2 linked regions of the Lonchura striata genome follow. The protein of the gene in region 2 purifies or fractionates together with the protein of the main gene of each other region. This does not show direct contact. Links are inferred from orthologs where the notes say so. Each region holds a gene or a part of one and is shown on either strand. Other genes may lie near its edges.

Region 1 (7,045 bases), on a different chromosome or scaffold from region 2:
AGAGAGGCACTGCAATAGCAGTTTTAGTTTTCTGGGGACTTTTTTTAGGTTTGGTTTTTTTTTTTTTTTGTAAGGTTGGGAAGTTAAATTACATGTATAGGTGTAAAATTATTAGGTACAGGATACAGAGGTACTTTTATGAGGAGCTGAATATGCAACTTGGGTTATCATTGTAGTCACAGGGAAAAGATCAAGCTGTGTGTGACTTCAGCCATCCCTGGGGCCAGAGAAAGCAGTGGCATGTGGGGTGAAGGAAAAAACCCCCATGTTTTGCTCCTTGTTAGTCTGGCTAATGCAAGTGGCAAAACAGAGCTGTACCCTGTTGTCAGTTGTCCTGACAAACCTTTCTCTGCCCACTGGTCATTGCTCAGAGCGATCTGGGGGTGGTCCATCTATGCATTTTCCCTAACACAGGCCTGAGAGAACACCTCCACATTGGTCTTCATCTTTATTTTAAAGCAAAGCAGTTATGGTTTGTATAGTTGTAGCCTGTAACAGAACACAGAAAACTGTGTTTTTGCTTTCACTCTCAGGTGTCAGTTTAAGAAGTTTTATCAGAAATTTGTAGCCAATACATCATTCATGAGTTTTCTGTCTTAACTGTTGGCTGTTACTGGCACCTATTTAAGCATCACTGCTTTTTCAAATCCCCTGCAGTTATCCAGAGATAAATTCCCCAAACTTACAACTCAAAGCCAAGGTGCCTGCAAGCCACATTTGCTTCATTCATACTCCATTCATTAGCACATACAAAACTGTCATCCTTATGATTCACGGGTTTTACTCGAAGCAAACTTGAATCTCCATGATCCAGATCAACTGAAAATGTTTCTTAAAAAATAAAAAAGAAAGAAATTTTTAAAATCCCCAAACAAAATCATATTATATAGGTATTATTATAGATATTATATTGTATTGTATATATTATATAGATGTATCTAATGGAAAGACAGCATAAAAACAAATCAGGACTAATTTTGTATTTAAAGCCAAAGTTCATATGGAAAGAACATTAGATTGGGAATCAGAAGGTTCAGGTATTATTCCTGAATTAGTTCTGAGGGTTGACTTTGTGTCTTTGAGCCTGCTAATTTCTCAGAATATGACAGTTCAAGGACAAATGAGGGTAATGGGTCCATAAGAGTATTTGAAGATCTATCAAGAACATGTTGCATTTTAGTCTAATGACCTTCTTTAGGGGATTTTTGATAACCAACCAGTAATACTTGGAAGCGAGAGGGCCACATCCTACTTCTATTATCTGTGTTGCAAAATGCCTGCAGCAGTCTGTGTAGCAAAACCAGCAGCAGGGTGACCAGGGCCTGTCAATCACTTTATTTTTTATGAAAATCAGCAGATACTGCCCATTTTCAGTGACACTTCATTTTTTGTTTCATGTTATTACTAGTGTGAGAAAATGAACAGACTTTCTGTAAATAGGGCAAGCATCTCCTCAGCCACCCCTGATGGATAAATTTCGGAAAAGGAGGTGTGAATACCTTCAGGCTTGCATGTTCCCTTGTGCAGAAACTTTGCTTTGGGTTGCTGACACTCATAGCTCTTCAGCTGACAGTAAGTACGGAAGGTCTTGCCATTGGCAGAACAAACTGCAGAGCCATTCTTTGGGCACTGGTAGGGAAGCTTGCAGAGGCATTTTCCCTCCACACATCGTTCCCATGGGTGACAAAAAACTTTCCTACAGGACTTGTGGGTGTATTGGTTGCCCAAGCATTCTTCTATGAGGTAGTTGTCTTGGTCAGCTGGTTGGGCAGGTTTAACCTGTTGAAGGTGGTTTTCTGCAGCCTTAGATGCTGCATTCTGCAAGGCACACAAAAAATAATTTAAATAAAAGCAAGATTAGGGACTGCACCAAGAGTTTTGCATCCCTTCACTGACCTCAGCAAAGTGCCCATTTATAAGCCTTTTCCTGTGTAATCAATAGTTCTTAAATACCATTTATGGTGTTTGTTCCCTTGTCTTTTGCCAACTCAACCTTCTCAGTTTTTCTGAACTATTTTTTTCTTTTTGGATTATTTACCTGGTGTGATCTTCACTCTTACTGATCTGCCACAAACTTTATACTCTTTACTTTTCAAACATCAGCTGAAGTGCACAGCAGAGTAGAAACATTTTTAAAGGCATTGGTTTATAACACATCCCAGCAATTGGACTGCAAGCAGATTAAAGCATAAAGGAATTTAAGCCCCAGAGAAAGAGAATAGCAATTTGTTTGGTTTTTTCTCCTAAGATTTGTTTTATTGGCCTCGTTGACTTTAGATTTAAATATCATCTGTAAATATTTATGAACGACTTACTAGCAAATGACTGTATAATGATTTGTTTTGCAGAGCCCACGTGACTGTTCAAGTAAAAAGTACCTCAAGTATCTGAAAGCAATTTGAAAATCAAGTGCTCATCCTTATCAGCGTTTTTCTTGTCTTGCACAGCAGAAGGTTTGCAATGTGGATGCTTCCATCACTGGACTGCAGGTGCAGATTGTGCCCCTCCCTCTGATGCCCTCAGGGTGAGCAGCACCTTGTTTGTGCAGTCCTCTGCTGACTTCTGTGTGCTGCCTGAGTGCTTTTGCTTACTAAGGTCTGTGGGTAGGAAGAATCTTTGAACATGGAAAATATTTATGGATGGCCTCTGTGTAAAAATGGGAGAAAAACAGTCCTCAAATGTGATTTATCAGTTTTGGCTGTGTCAACTGGATCAATAGAGCTGAAGTTTAAAGTTCTCATGAAATCCTGCCCACAGTAAAGTCAGGGAGGATGTAGCTGGGGCAGAATTCAATATCTCTCCTTTTCATGGCTGTATAATCTCATTAAATCCTTCCTGCTGTTCTTGGGCCAGTAGAATCCAAACTGGGAACCAGATCCACCTTGGCACAACTCCCATATTGTGCGAGGTGTTCCTCCTCATGGGGAACAGGTGCTGATTTTTATCTCAGAACTTCTCTGAAAGGCTCAGATTGGCTTTCCTGGACAGTTCTGCCTGGAGAAAATCTGCAGGAAACCTGCTGGCAATAGGAGACTACCATGCTGCCATATTACAAGACTGCAATCCCATTTCTCAAAAAAGGGAGGTGGGGAAAATTGTAGCACCTTTCTGTGGTCAGCCATGCTTGCAAATTTGGCACAGGATCCTGATTAAAATCTTTTCCACAAACCTGTTAGCATAAGCCCCAGTAGAATCAAAACATTAAAGAGAAATAGCAAACTTCAAACACTCAGGCTGGGTTAAAACGAATGAAGCACAAATACCATGAAAGGAACTTTAAAAAAATAAATTGGTTTTGCTTTTGTAACAATAAACTGTTTATTAAACGTTTTAAAAAGTTATGCCAACACAATAAAACGTATCTTACCTCTGATCCACAAAGACAAAAGAGACACAAGAAAACCAAGCAAATTAGGAGCATTCGCATGATGAAACTTTATCTCCCTTCCTAGACAAATTCCTCTGGCTGTGATTCTTTTGAATGTCAGCTGTTAGATTTGGGTTTAATTTTTAACCATTAGAAAAATATTTTCAAGCGTGTTTAGAAATAAAGTACAGGAGCCTCAACTATTAACCGATAAATCTGATCTCTTCGAAAGATCATGCCTTAACTGGTTTTATCGCAAGTGGATGACGAGGTAACAAAAGCCAAGCCCTTGAAGTAAATGATTAAAGGGAAGCGCTTGTTGGGGTTGCACTTTTCTTTGCGCAGAGGAGTCCGATCGATCCATGGCGCCGGCCGCCCTGAGTGCAGGCGCTCCCGCCCGCCAGGTTACCCTGCAGGGCGAGTGCCGGCGCTCCCGCCCGCCAGGCTACCCTGCAGGGCGAGTGCAGGCGCTCCCGCCCGCCAGGTTACCCTGCAGGGCGAGTGCCGGCGCTCCCGCCCGCCAGGCTACCCTGCAGGGCGAGTGCAGGCGCTCCCGCCCGCCAGGCTACCCTGCAGGGCGAGTGTGCTCCCCACACGGCTCCGTGCCCAGCCCCTATCCCTGGCCCGCCGCTCCCTCGGGAGCGCGGGACAACTACCGGGCACGGGAGCCGCTTTGCGACAGCGCCCTTTCATTTACGGCAGCAGCCCCGTTTGCGGCAGCGCGCTGTTTCCGGCGGCGGCGCGCACGTGCAGGTACGTCCCGCGCGGGAGCCGCTGCCGTGTCCGTCTGTCTGTCCGTCCGTCCGTCATCCCCCAGGGAATGGCCCCGGCAGCCGCGGTCCCCCCGCCTGTGAGCTGATAAACAATCCCGAGGGCCCTGTGAGGCGCTGCGGGTGCGCGCCCGGGCAGTGCGGCCTCCCGAGGGAGCCTCCCGAGGTTTAACGGGGCCGAGAGGAAGGGCCGGGACCACCCCTGATGCCAGCACGGGCAGTGAGGGATGGACAGAGGGAGAGCAGCCCTGCCGAGAAGGACTTGGGGTGCTGGTGGTGACAGGACGGACATGGCCCAGCAATGGAGTCATGACTCACAGCCCAGGGAGCCAAACCTGTCCTGGGCTGCATCCAGAGCAGCGTGGGCAGCAGGGACAGGGAGGGGATTCTGCCCCTCTGCTCTGCTCTGCTCTGCAGAGACCCCACCTGCAGGGCTGCATCAGCTCCAGGGTGCCCAGCACAGAAGAGACGTGGAGTTCCAGAGGAGGCCCCGAGGGTGGTCACAGGCTGGAGCACTTCTCCTCTACCTTCTCTGCTTGGCCTGAGAGTGGGGATTCTTTAGCCTGGAGAACAGAAGGCTCTAGGAACATTTTACAGCAGCCTTCCAGTGCCTGAAGGAGGCTACAGCAGAGCTCGAGAGAGACTTTGTACAAGGGCACATAGGGATAGAGTAAGAGAAGATAGTTTTAAACTGAAAGAGGGTGGGTTGAGATGGGATATTAAGAAAAAATTCTATACTGTGAGAGTGGTGAGGCACTGGAACAGGTCACCTAGAGAAGCTGTGGGTGCCCCATCCCAGGGGGTGTTCAAGGCCAGGGTGGATGGGCCTCTGAGCAGCCTGTGGAATGTGTCACTGCACACAGCAGAGGGGTTGGAAGTAGGTGACCCTTAGGTTTTCTTCCAACCTGAACTATTCTGTGATTTTCTTACTTTGTGCCATTTATGGGGACTGTCATCAGCCCTTATACAGATGAGTGAAAAAAGTGCTGGTCACTGCTAGTCACTTTTTGCAGTTGGCTGTTGCAGTGGATGACATCTTAAGTATAAACTTGATTTTTCACTTGTGAGGACTGAAAACAACACACCATTAAATTAACAAACCAGGCTGACAGGACACTACAATTTGTACAGCAAATCAAATGTGACACGTCTTTTGTATCTTAAACGACTGATTTTTTTGTTCACAATGTAGGAAACAGTAGAGAATGTCTTTTCGTGGAAGAGGAGGTGGAGGAGGAAGAGGAGGTGGCTTCAGCCGTGGAGGAGGTGGTGGTGACAGAGGTGGCTTTAACCGTGGTGGTCGAGGTGGCTTTGGACGGGGAGGTGGAAGAGGAGGCTTCAACAGAGGAGGATATGACCAGGGCCCTCCAGAAAGGGTAGTTTGTAAGTTACATGGAGAAACTTTATTTATTTTATTTAGATTGTCTGCTTCAGCTCTTTAGCTTGTTTGTTCTTTATTTCAGTGTTGGGAGAGTTCATGCATCCCTGTGAAGATGACATAGTTTGTAAATGTAAAACAGAAGAAAACAAGGTGCCTTATTTCAATGCCCCAGTGTACCTGGATAATAAGGAGCAGATTGGCAAAGTGGATGAAATATTTGGACAGCTGAGAGACTTTGTATCCTTTAAAAAAATTGATTGGATATGAAATGGGATTTCTCTAGGATTTTAAAATAGTTCAGGGTTGTATGTGAGGCTTGCTGCAGCTGTAGGTGCTTCATTCACACTAAGTGCGTATCTTACAGCTTTTTTGATATGACTGAATACTTGAAGTCAACCAGAGATTTTCACTCTTTAGCAGTACTGATGATGTGTTTTGGATCCATGGTGGTTCAAGTTGTTACTTTTTCTGCCTAACTGACCAAATTTTCTGCTGTAGGTTACTAAGCCATAACAGAGTTGGATCAAGGGCCTTGCGGATTTTTGTACATTAGGGGACCTTGCTTATGCTCCAGCACATTATTTAATTACAAAGTGAGTTTATACTAAGATGACCTGTTGCTCATTTTCCATAAAAGTGGGATATACCAGGACATCTGCCCATAAAAGTGGGATGTGCCAGGACATCTCTGGCAAAGCCAGCCTGACACAGAGACATTGGGTGCATTCTGTTGTCACTGCCAGGTGGACAGAATCCATGACAAAAGCAGGATAGCTGGGGGAGTAACCTTGTAACACGTCAGTTAGGACTCAGCCTGTGTTGGTTGGTTGAGCACCAGTCACTAGCTATGTGCATTTTCCTCTCCCACATTAAATGTGAAGTAAAATGTGCAGGTTTAAATCACTTCTAATTGCAAATGTGATGAAATTTAGCTGAATTTATGAAATACTAACTTAGAAAATATCTGAATGTTCCTTTCATATACTGATCAAAATCACAGTTTTTAGTGTTTTATTACTGCAATGCTCCTTAAAGAAACCAACAGTATTTTTCAGTGAAACTGTCTGAGAACATGAAAGCCTCTTCATTTAAAAAAATGCAAAAGGTAAGTCAATCTCAATAACAAAATTTTACTGAATGTCATCAGTTAGCTAAGTCTAATTTGTCAGCAGATAATAAAAGCTTTATTAGGTATTTAATAACTTTAAAAGCAGCTTGTCCTATGTAAGCGTAGGAATTAAGTTCCTCATCCTTTCTAGTTTTGTGTTTGCCACATTATTCCTTCTCCCTGCCCCATGAGAAGAGATGCAATAAAATCACACAAATATCATCTATATTTTAGCAGCTTTTTAATTCTGGGGTTTACTTCTTGTGTGCTTTCTCTATTTGGCTTTTTGCAGAGAATAGTTTGACATAATGGGATAAGACCAAATTGTGGATATTTGTAAAGAGAGATATTAATGTGCTTCTTAGTCTTGGTGTTTTGAAAGCCTAATGGAATTCTCTTCCTGCAGTTTTACATTGATC
Region 2 (6,847 bases):
TGTGCTTCTACAGTAACTATCCTTCAGGAAAATAAAAAAGAAAATACAAGCAATTACTTAAAACCAACATTTCCTCCTACTGAGGAGGAAATCCTGTCACCCAGGACTGTGTGGGAGCAGCAAGCAACACTCCTTACCTTCGAACTTGGCGTTCACCATGACGTATAAATGCTCCCTTGGGTAGGCACTCGGGTCCCTGGAGACGGCGTGCAAACTTATAGTGGGGTAATCCAAGGAGAAGCCAACTCCGGAGTTTTCCAGCCAGGATAAGCGACTAATGAGGGAGGAAAAGAGGAATTTAGAAAGTTAGAAATTAACGGAGGACAGTATCTGATTCAAGCTTGCAGAAAAGCAAACCACCCCCAAAACATGAGTAATTGTGGACAAGGCACTTGGCCCACTCTGCAGGCATACACGGTCCTGGACCTGCCTGAACAGGTCTTTGCAACCGCATTAATTGATGGCTGAGGTAAAAGACACCTTTGCTGAAAGAATGTGAAGCTAAGAACTCTAAACCCATCACAACTTTATCTCATTTGCACTAAATGCTGAATTTTCCTCCCTGCGTCTCCATTTTCTTCTCCCTGCAGGTATCTAGCATTCCAAAGTCAACTACAGAGGTTCAGATGATTTGTAATTCAAGCTATTAAATGTGGTTTTCCAAAGAGGAAAACAAAGAACACCGAAAGGCAAGTCAGTGACATAATAATTCCTAGGGAATTATAGATCTGATGTGGGTATAGCCTGTAGACAGAAAACAGCCAGTTCTGTGATCAGCAGAGCCAGGTTATGGGTATTCCTCCAGTCACAATTTATGTGCTATAGCCTCTGCTTTCCCCATTTTTGCTGTCATCCCTAACCACAGCATGGGACAGCACAGGTTGTCACCCCCAGGATGCTGCCTCCTTCATATCAGAACAATCAACATCTTTCTACATACTGAGAAATCAAACTCAAACTAGATTTGGGTGCCTGTAATCAATGATGTCACACAGTGAACAGAAATACTCAGTGCCAGAAAGCAAGACCTCCACCATGTGCAAAACTCAGCATTCACAAGCTTTTGTGGTGGAACAAAACCAATGGAAAGCTCACAGAAGACTCCTGGTATTAGAAAATCTGGCTGAGAGCAAAAGCTAGTACAGTGGGAGCAAGGAGTTTATTTCCTAGCCTCAACTATCCAGTCCTCAATGTTTACAGCTGCTGGTGGAGAGTCACTACATGGATCAAGAGCCACATTATGCTCCTGGATACCCTGTTCTCCCATGGCACTTCTGCAAACACTGGTGTTTTCTGTTCATCCCAACAAGAGACTCTAGTGAAACCTCTGTGGTGCAACTGAAATACATGGAAACTAGCAGACCTGCAGTCGCCTCACACTAAAGTCTACTGAAAGCAACTTACAAGGAAACACAACATTATACATCCTCAGAGCAGATACCCCACAAACAGAAGTCCTGGTAGCTGTAACCAAACTAAATAAAACAGTGAACAAATATGCAGAGAGATTCCTCTCCAACACAGCATTAATAAGCTCTGATGGGGCAAAAGCTCCTCCAACAATAATGGCCATTTCATAAAAGTTTCCTAGTCTGAGGTTTTTAAAAGTGCACATTTTAAATTATGTTTTTGTTCCAACAATGCTCTTCAGTTACAGAATCTATTATGAGTACTTTTCCATGGTTAAAGAAAATTACATGGTTTTAATTATCAAGCTGTCCCCCTGAGCTATAAAATGCAGGGAGAACTGAAAGGAGACCATAAAGAGCTCAGATAACATCTTTCAGAATAACTAGACTAATTCCTGCCTGGTAAAAACAGTCTCCATGTGATTAATGCAACATGAAAGACTTCACAGAACCAGAGTAGTTCTTAAAAGCAGAAACCAACCAGCCCCGTCTACTCCCCTGTTAAAAGAGGAGAGTTGCCATGGTTTTAATTATAGAATGGTTTGGGTTGGAAAAGACCTGAAAGATCATCTAGTTCCAATCCATTACCTTGGGCAGGGACACCTTCCAGTACACCAGGATGCTCGGAGCCACAACCAACCTGGCCTTGAACACTTCCAAGAATGGGACATGCAATGTTTCTTTGGGCCACCTGTGCCAGGGTCTCACCCTGCTCACAGTAAGGAATTTTCTCCTAAAAACCAATCTAGCGCTCTTTTTCAGTCTGAAGCCATTCCTCCTTGTCCTGTCACTACAGTTCCTGTCAAAGAGCCCCTCTGTGCCCTCCCCGCGTGCCCATTCTGATACTGGGAGGTTGCCATGAGGTCCCCACACAACTTTCTCAGCCCGTCTTCACAGAAGAGGTGCTCCAGTCCCCTCATCAACTGTGTGGTGTCTGCTGGGCTTGCTCCAAGCTTTCCAGGTCCTTTTAGCTGGCGATTCCCGTGCTGGATAGAGCGCTCCAGGTGGAGTCTCACAAAAGCCGTGGGGCAGAATTCCCTCTCTTGCCCAGCTGCCACGCTGCTTTTGCTGTGGCCCAGGACACAACTGGCTTTCAGGGCTGCAAGTGCACATTTCTCCACCATGCTGAGTTTTACAAAACGGTTTGGTGGGGAGGAACCTTACAGCCCTGTCGTTCCAAGCCCCTGCCTTGGCCAGGGACACCTCCCACTAGACCAGGTCGCTCCAAGCCCCATCCAGCCCGGCCCTGGATGCCCCAGCCAGCGGGTACCGCTGCCTCTTGCCTGCTTTAAAGCGAGCGGAGCCGCGGGACGCCCCGCAGAGCCCCGCAGCCCCCGAGGCCTCCCCCACATCCCGGGGCCTCAGGGCCGGGGCAGCGCCCGAGGGCTCCCGGCCCGGTGTCCCCGCACCTCTCGGCGATGTACAGCGTGCCGGAGCCCAGGCTGCGCCCCGCCAGCAGCGCCTCCGTGTCCGGCTGCTGGTGGCGGACGCCGTCGGACGGCGGCGGGAAGCGCTTGAGGAAGCTCATGGCGCCGCCGCCGCCGCCCTGCTGCACCGCCGCGGCCGCCGGAAGCGGAACGCGCCGCTCCGTGATGCCGTTCCGCCCGGGCCGCCGCGGCTCCGCCCGGGACGCGATGGCTCCGCCCCGGGATGCCACGGCTCCGCCCCGGGATGTCACGGCTCCGCCCCGGGATGTCACGGCTCCGCCCGGGACGCCACGGCTCCGCCCGGGGCGCCGCGGCTCCGCCCCGGGATGTCACGGCTCCGCCCGGGACGCCACGGCTCCGCCCGGGACGCCACGGCTCCGCCCCGGGATGTCACGGCTCCGCCCGGGACGCGATGGCTCCGCCCGGGACGCCACGGCTCCGCCCGGGGCGCCGCGGCTCCGCCCCGGGATGTCACGGCTCCGCCCGGGACGCCACGGCTCCGCCCGGGACGCCACGGCTCCGCCCCGGGGCGCCGCGGCTCCGCCCGGGACGCGATGGCACCGCCCCGGGACGCCACGGCTCCGCCCGGGACGCCACGGCTCCGCCCCGGGACGCCATGGCACCGCCCCGGGACGCCACGGCTCCGCCCGGGATGTCACGGCTCCGCCCGGGATGCGATGGCACCGCCCCGGGATGTCACGGCTCCGCCCGGGACGCCACGGCTCCGCCCCGGGATGTCACGGCTCCGCCCCGGGATGCCGCGGCTCCGCCCCGGGATGCCACGGCTCCGCCCGGGACGCCACGGCTCCGCCCGGGACGCCACGGCTCCGCCCCGGGATGTCACGGCACCGCCCCGGGACGCCATGGCACCGCCCCGGGATGTCACGGCTCCGCCCCGGGATGTCACGGCTCCGCCCCGGGATGCCACGGCTCCGCCCGGGACGCCACGGCTCCGCCCGGGGCGCGATGGCACCGCCCCGGGACGCCATGGCACCGCCCCGGGATGTCACGGCTCCGCCCCGGGACGCCACAGCTCCGCCCCGGGATGCCATGGCACCGCCCCGGGATGTCACGGCTCCGCCCCGGGACGCCACGGCTCCGCCCGGGATGTCACGGCTCCGCCCGGGATGCGATGGCACCGCCCCGGGATGTCACGGCTCCGCCCGGGATGCGATGGCACCGCCCCGGGATGTCACGGCTCCGCCCGGGACGCCACGGCTCCGCCCCGGGATGTCACGGCTCCGCCCCGGGATGCCGCGGCTCCGCCCCGGGATGTCACGGCTCCGCCCCGGGATGTCACGGCTCCGCCCGGGATGTCACGGCTCCGCCCCGGGATGACACGGCTCCGCCCGGGATGTCACGGCTCCGCCCCGGGATGACACGGCTCCGCTCCCGTTCCGCGGGGCCCGGTGCGGCCGCGGCTCGGGGTGCCGCGGGCGGGTCCGAGTGAGGTCGTCTTTGAGTGGAAAAGAGGAGCCAAGGGCAGCGCTGAGGTGACCGCTGAGGGCTGGAGCGCCTCTGCTGTGGAGACAGGCTGAGAGATGTTCTCCGAAGAGGAGGCTCCAGGGAGACCGTACAGCTCCTTCCAGGACCTAAAGGGGATACAAGAAAGCTGGAGAGGGACTTTGGACAAGGGGAAAGAGATTCAAATTGACAGAGGGCGGAGTGAGATTAGATACTGTGAAGGAATTCTTCCCTGTGAGGGTGGTGAGGCACTGGCACAGGTTGCCCAGAGAAGGTGTGGCTGCCCCATCCCTGGAAGTGTTCAAGGACAGGTTGGATGGGGCTCTGAGCAATCTGATCTAGTGGAAGCTGTCCCTGCCCACAGCAGGGGGTTTGGAACAAGATGGTTGAAACATGTCTTTAATGTCCCTTCCAACCCAAAACGTTCAGATTCTATAATCGACAGCACCAAGAGCAGTCACAGAACCATTGAGTATCCTGAATTGGAAGGGACCCACATTGATCATCCAGTCCATCTGCCAGCCCTGCACAGGACACCACAACAATCACACCTTGTGCTTGAGAGCTTTTTCCAAATGCTTCTTGATCTCTGCCATACCTATTTTAACCTGTAAGTCTCATTGCCCAGGTGACAGAGGGAAAGATAACAATAACAAAGAAATACAGCAGATTCACAATTACCATTGTTGGATGCTGGAAGGGGAAATTCTGGTGGGTGACCACCACCTAACGTCTCATATATGCACATGGAGAAGAAAAAGAAAATCACAAGTACCTGAATTGCTTAAAGGGTATCCAGTTGATTTTCTCAGCAGTGATGAATTGGGGTCAGCACCTGACACTACTGCAGGACCTGGCGAGCGGGCGGTGTTGCAGGACAGCACATTTCAGGGATGGGAAGGCTGCCACCCCTTCATGAGCACTGGTCCTGCTTCTTCCCTGGATTTACCCCATTTCTCTTGCTACTGCAGTGAGAAACAGCGATTACTGATGCATCAGTGAAGTACATCTCTGCCAGGGGATGCTTCTGCTAATGCCATCAGTGAGACAGCATCAATGCAAACATCCATTCTCTCTACTTGTCAGGATGGCAAATGCTCCTGCCATAGCAACATATCAAAAGCAAGTTGTTAGCTTGTCATGGGAGTTAACCTTCCCTTTAATCAGTTTAAAATTTACTTTTTAGGAGTAATTTAGCTACCTGTGTGCAAACGCAGGTTCTCACAAACATGAGCCAATTAATGAGACTAGGTCTCCATCTTTCCTTTCTCTGGACTTTCCTATCTATGGTCTTGGATAGCAAAGACCAGAACATAACATGGTTCTCTTAGTCTGAGGTATTGACAATGTTTTGGAAAGCTGGCCAACCATGCCTACCCATTTTGGATTTTAATTACACAAATAATAACGCAAATAATTGTTACTCATACAAATAATTACCTAGACCAAAATGAAAGCAAATTTCACAGTGAAGTGATATGTAAGCACTGCTGGAATAGCTTGAAAAAACCAACAGAGGCAACAGGAGATGAGAAAAGGGGAAGTTATCAATAATTTTCAAGTTTGCCACACCAAGACAAGTGGTCAACTGGAAACAAAAATTTGCAGTTCATCCAAGAACACAGATCAGACTATGGCAGCTGGTGGGAAGAGATCCAAATACATGGAAATACCATTCACTGCACTTAGGGGCTATAAAGCAATGCTCCTGTTGATGTTCAGCCCCTCTTACCTAATGTGGTTGTCATATCAGCCACAGAGAGTTCTCACCACCTTTGTAGTTAACTCCAAAGTAAAGAACAACTTTAGGTTGTTATAAATTAAAATTTCTGAGTGGTTGGGGTTGGATTACTGCTGGTTGAAGTTGCTGCAGTGGAGTAATACGGAGTTTATTTCTCTTCCTGCATGCAAATGCAAGTCTTCTGTGACACACCACTCTTCCAAAAAAGTGGGGAAAGGGATAGTTTAAGCCCAGGCAGAAAACTGGTTTTGAGGATGAGGCATTAAAAGAGGAGGAGAAACCCACATCTTCCTTATTTACACAATCCAGACACTTCACACCAGAGTACTGAGTGCTGCACCTACGAGAAGCTTAGAGAGGGAAGGCAGATGTTTCCTCTAAGTTAGAATGGAACAGAATGGCATTACCTGAAAACCCTCCTTCGGCTCTAAGAGCTTTAAGAAATGAATTCGGATCCAGCCCCAGTGCTGTCTGAACACTGGGTGTCCAACAGTGATTTAGTTAACCAGGGCTGTGTTCGGAGGCAATGGAGAGCAGCAGGTACCTTGTCACCTTAGCACAGAAGGCAGGAGCCACCATCCAGAGGAGCTTGTTTCTCTCCACAGCACTGCCTGCCATAAGGTGGCCAGTTCAGACTTAGATGCCCAGAATCTGTTAAAAATGGAAGTGTAAAGTTTTGGCAGTGGATTTGGAGCAAAAGGATGAATTTCACAACAATTTCTCATCACACAAAAACACACAGCAGCTTGACTGTAGCCACAGATACATTCAAAATAAAGACTGACAGGCTTCAGCAATTCACACAG

What was found. Proteins that work in one complex are often made in the same cells at the same time.
Region 1: the proteins of CLNS1A (region 2) and GAR1 purify together in Homo sapiens (affinity purification with mass spectrometry; 3 studies listed by BioGRID and IntAct, counting the BioPlex papers as one, with this or other methods). This does not show direct contact. The link is inferred for Lonchura striata from reciprocal best matches to the Homo sapiens genes CLNS1A and GAR1.

The regions. Positions count from the first base shown.
Region 1 is NC_134606.1:46,155,167-46,162,211, reverse strand, and holds the start of GAR1 (H/ACA ribonucleoprotein complex subunit 1), read left to right. Parts: upstream 1-4,043; 5' UTR 4,044-4,120; intron 4,121-4,130; exon of another isoform or gene 4,131-4,217; intron 4,218-5,329; 5' UTR 5,330-5,342; coding exon 5,343-5,520; intron 5,521-5,600; coding exon 5,601-5,755; intron 5,756-6,563; coding exon 6,564-6,623; intron 6,624-7,032; coding exon 7,033-7,045. Other genes in the region: CFI (complement factor I), read right to left, coding at 687-831, 1,500-1,818, 3,368-3,427. UniProt on the Homo sapiens protein: Required for ribosome biogenesis and telomere maintenance. Part of the H/ACA small nucleolar ribonucleoprotein (H/ACA snoRNP) complex, which catalyzes pseudouridylation of rRNA.
Region 2 is NC_134604.1:32,435,833-32,442,679, forward strand, and holds the start of CLNS1A (methylosome subunit pICln), read right to left. Parts: upstream 3,021-6,847; 5' UTR 2,938-3,020; coding exon 2,819-2,937; intron 275-2,818; coding exon 138-274; intron 1-137. UniProt on the Homo sapiens protein: Involved in both the assembly of spliceosomal snRNPs and the methylation of Sm proteins.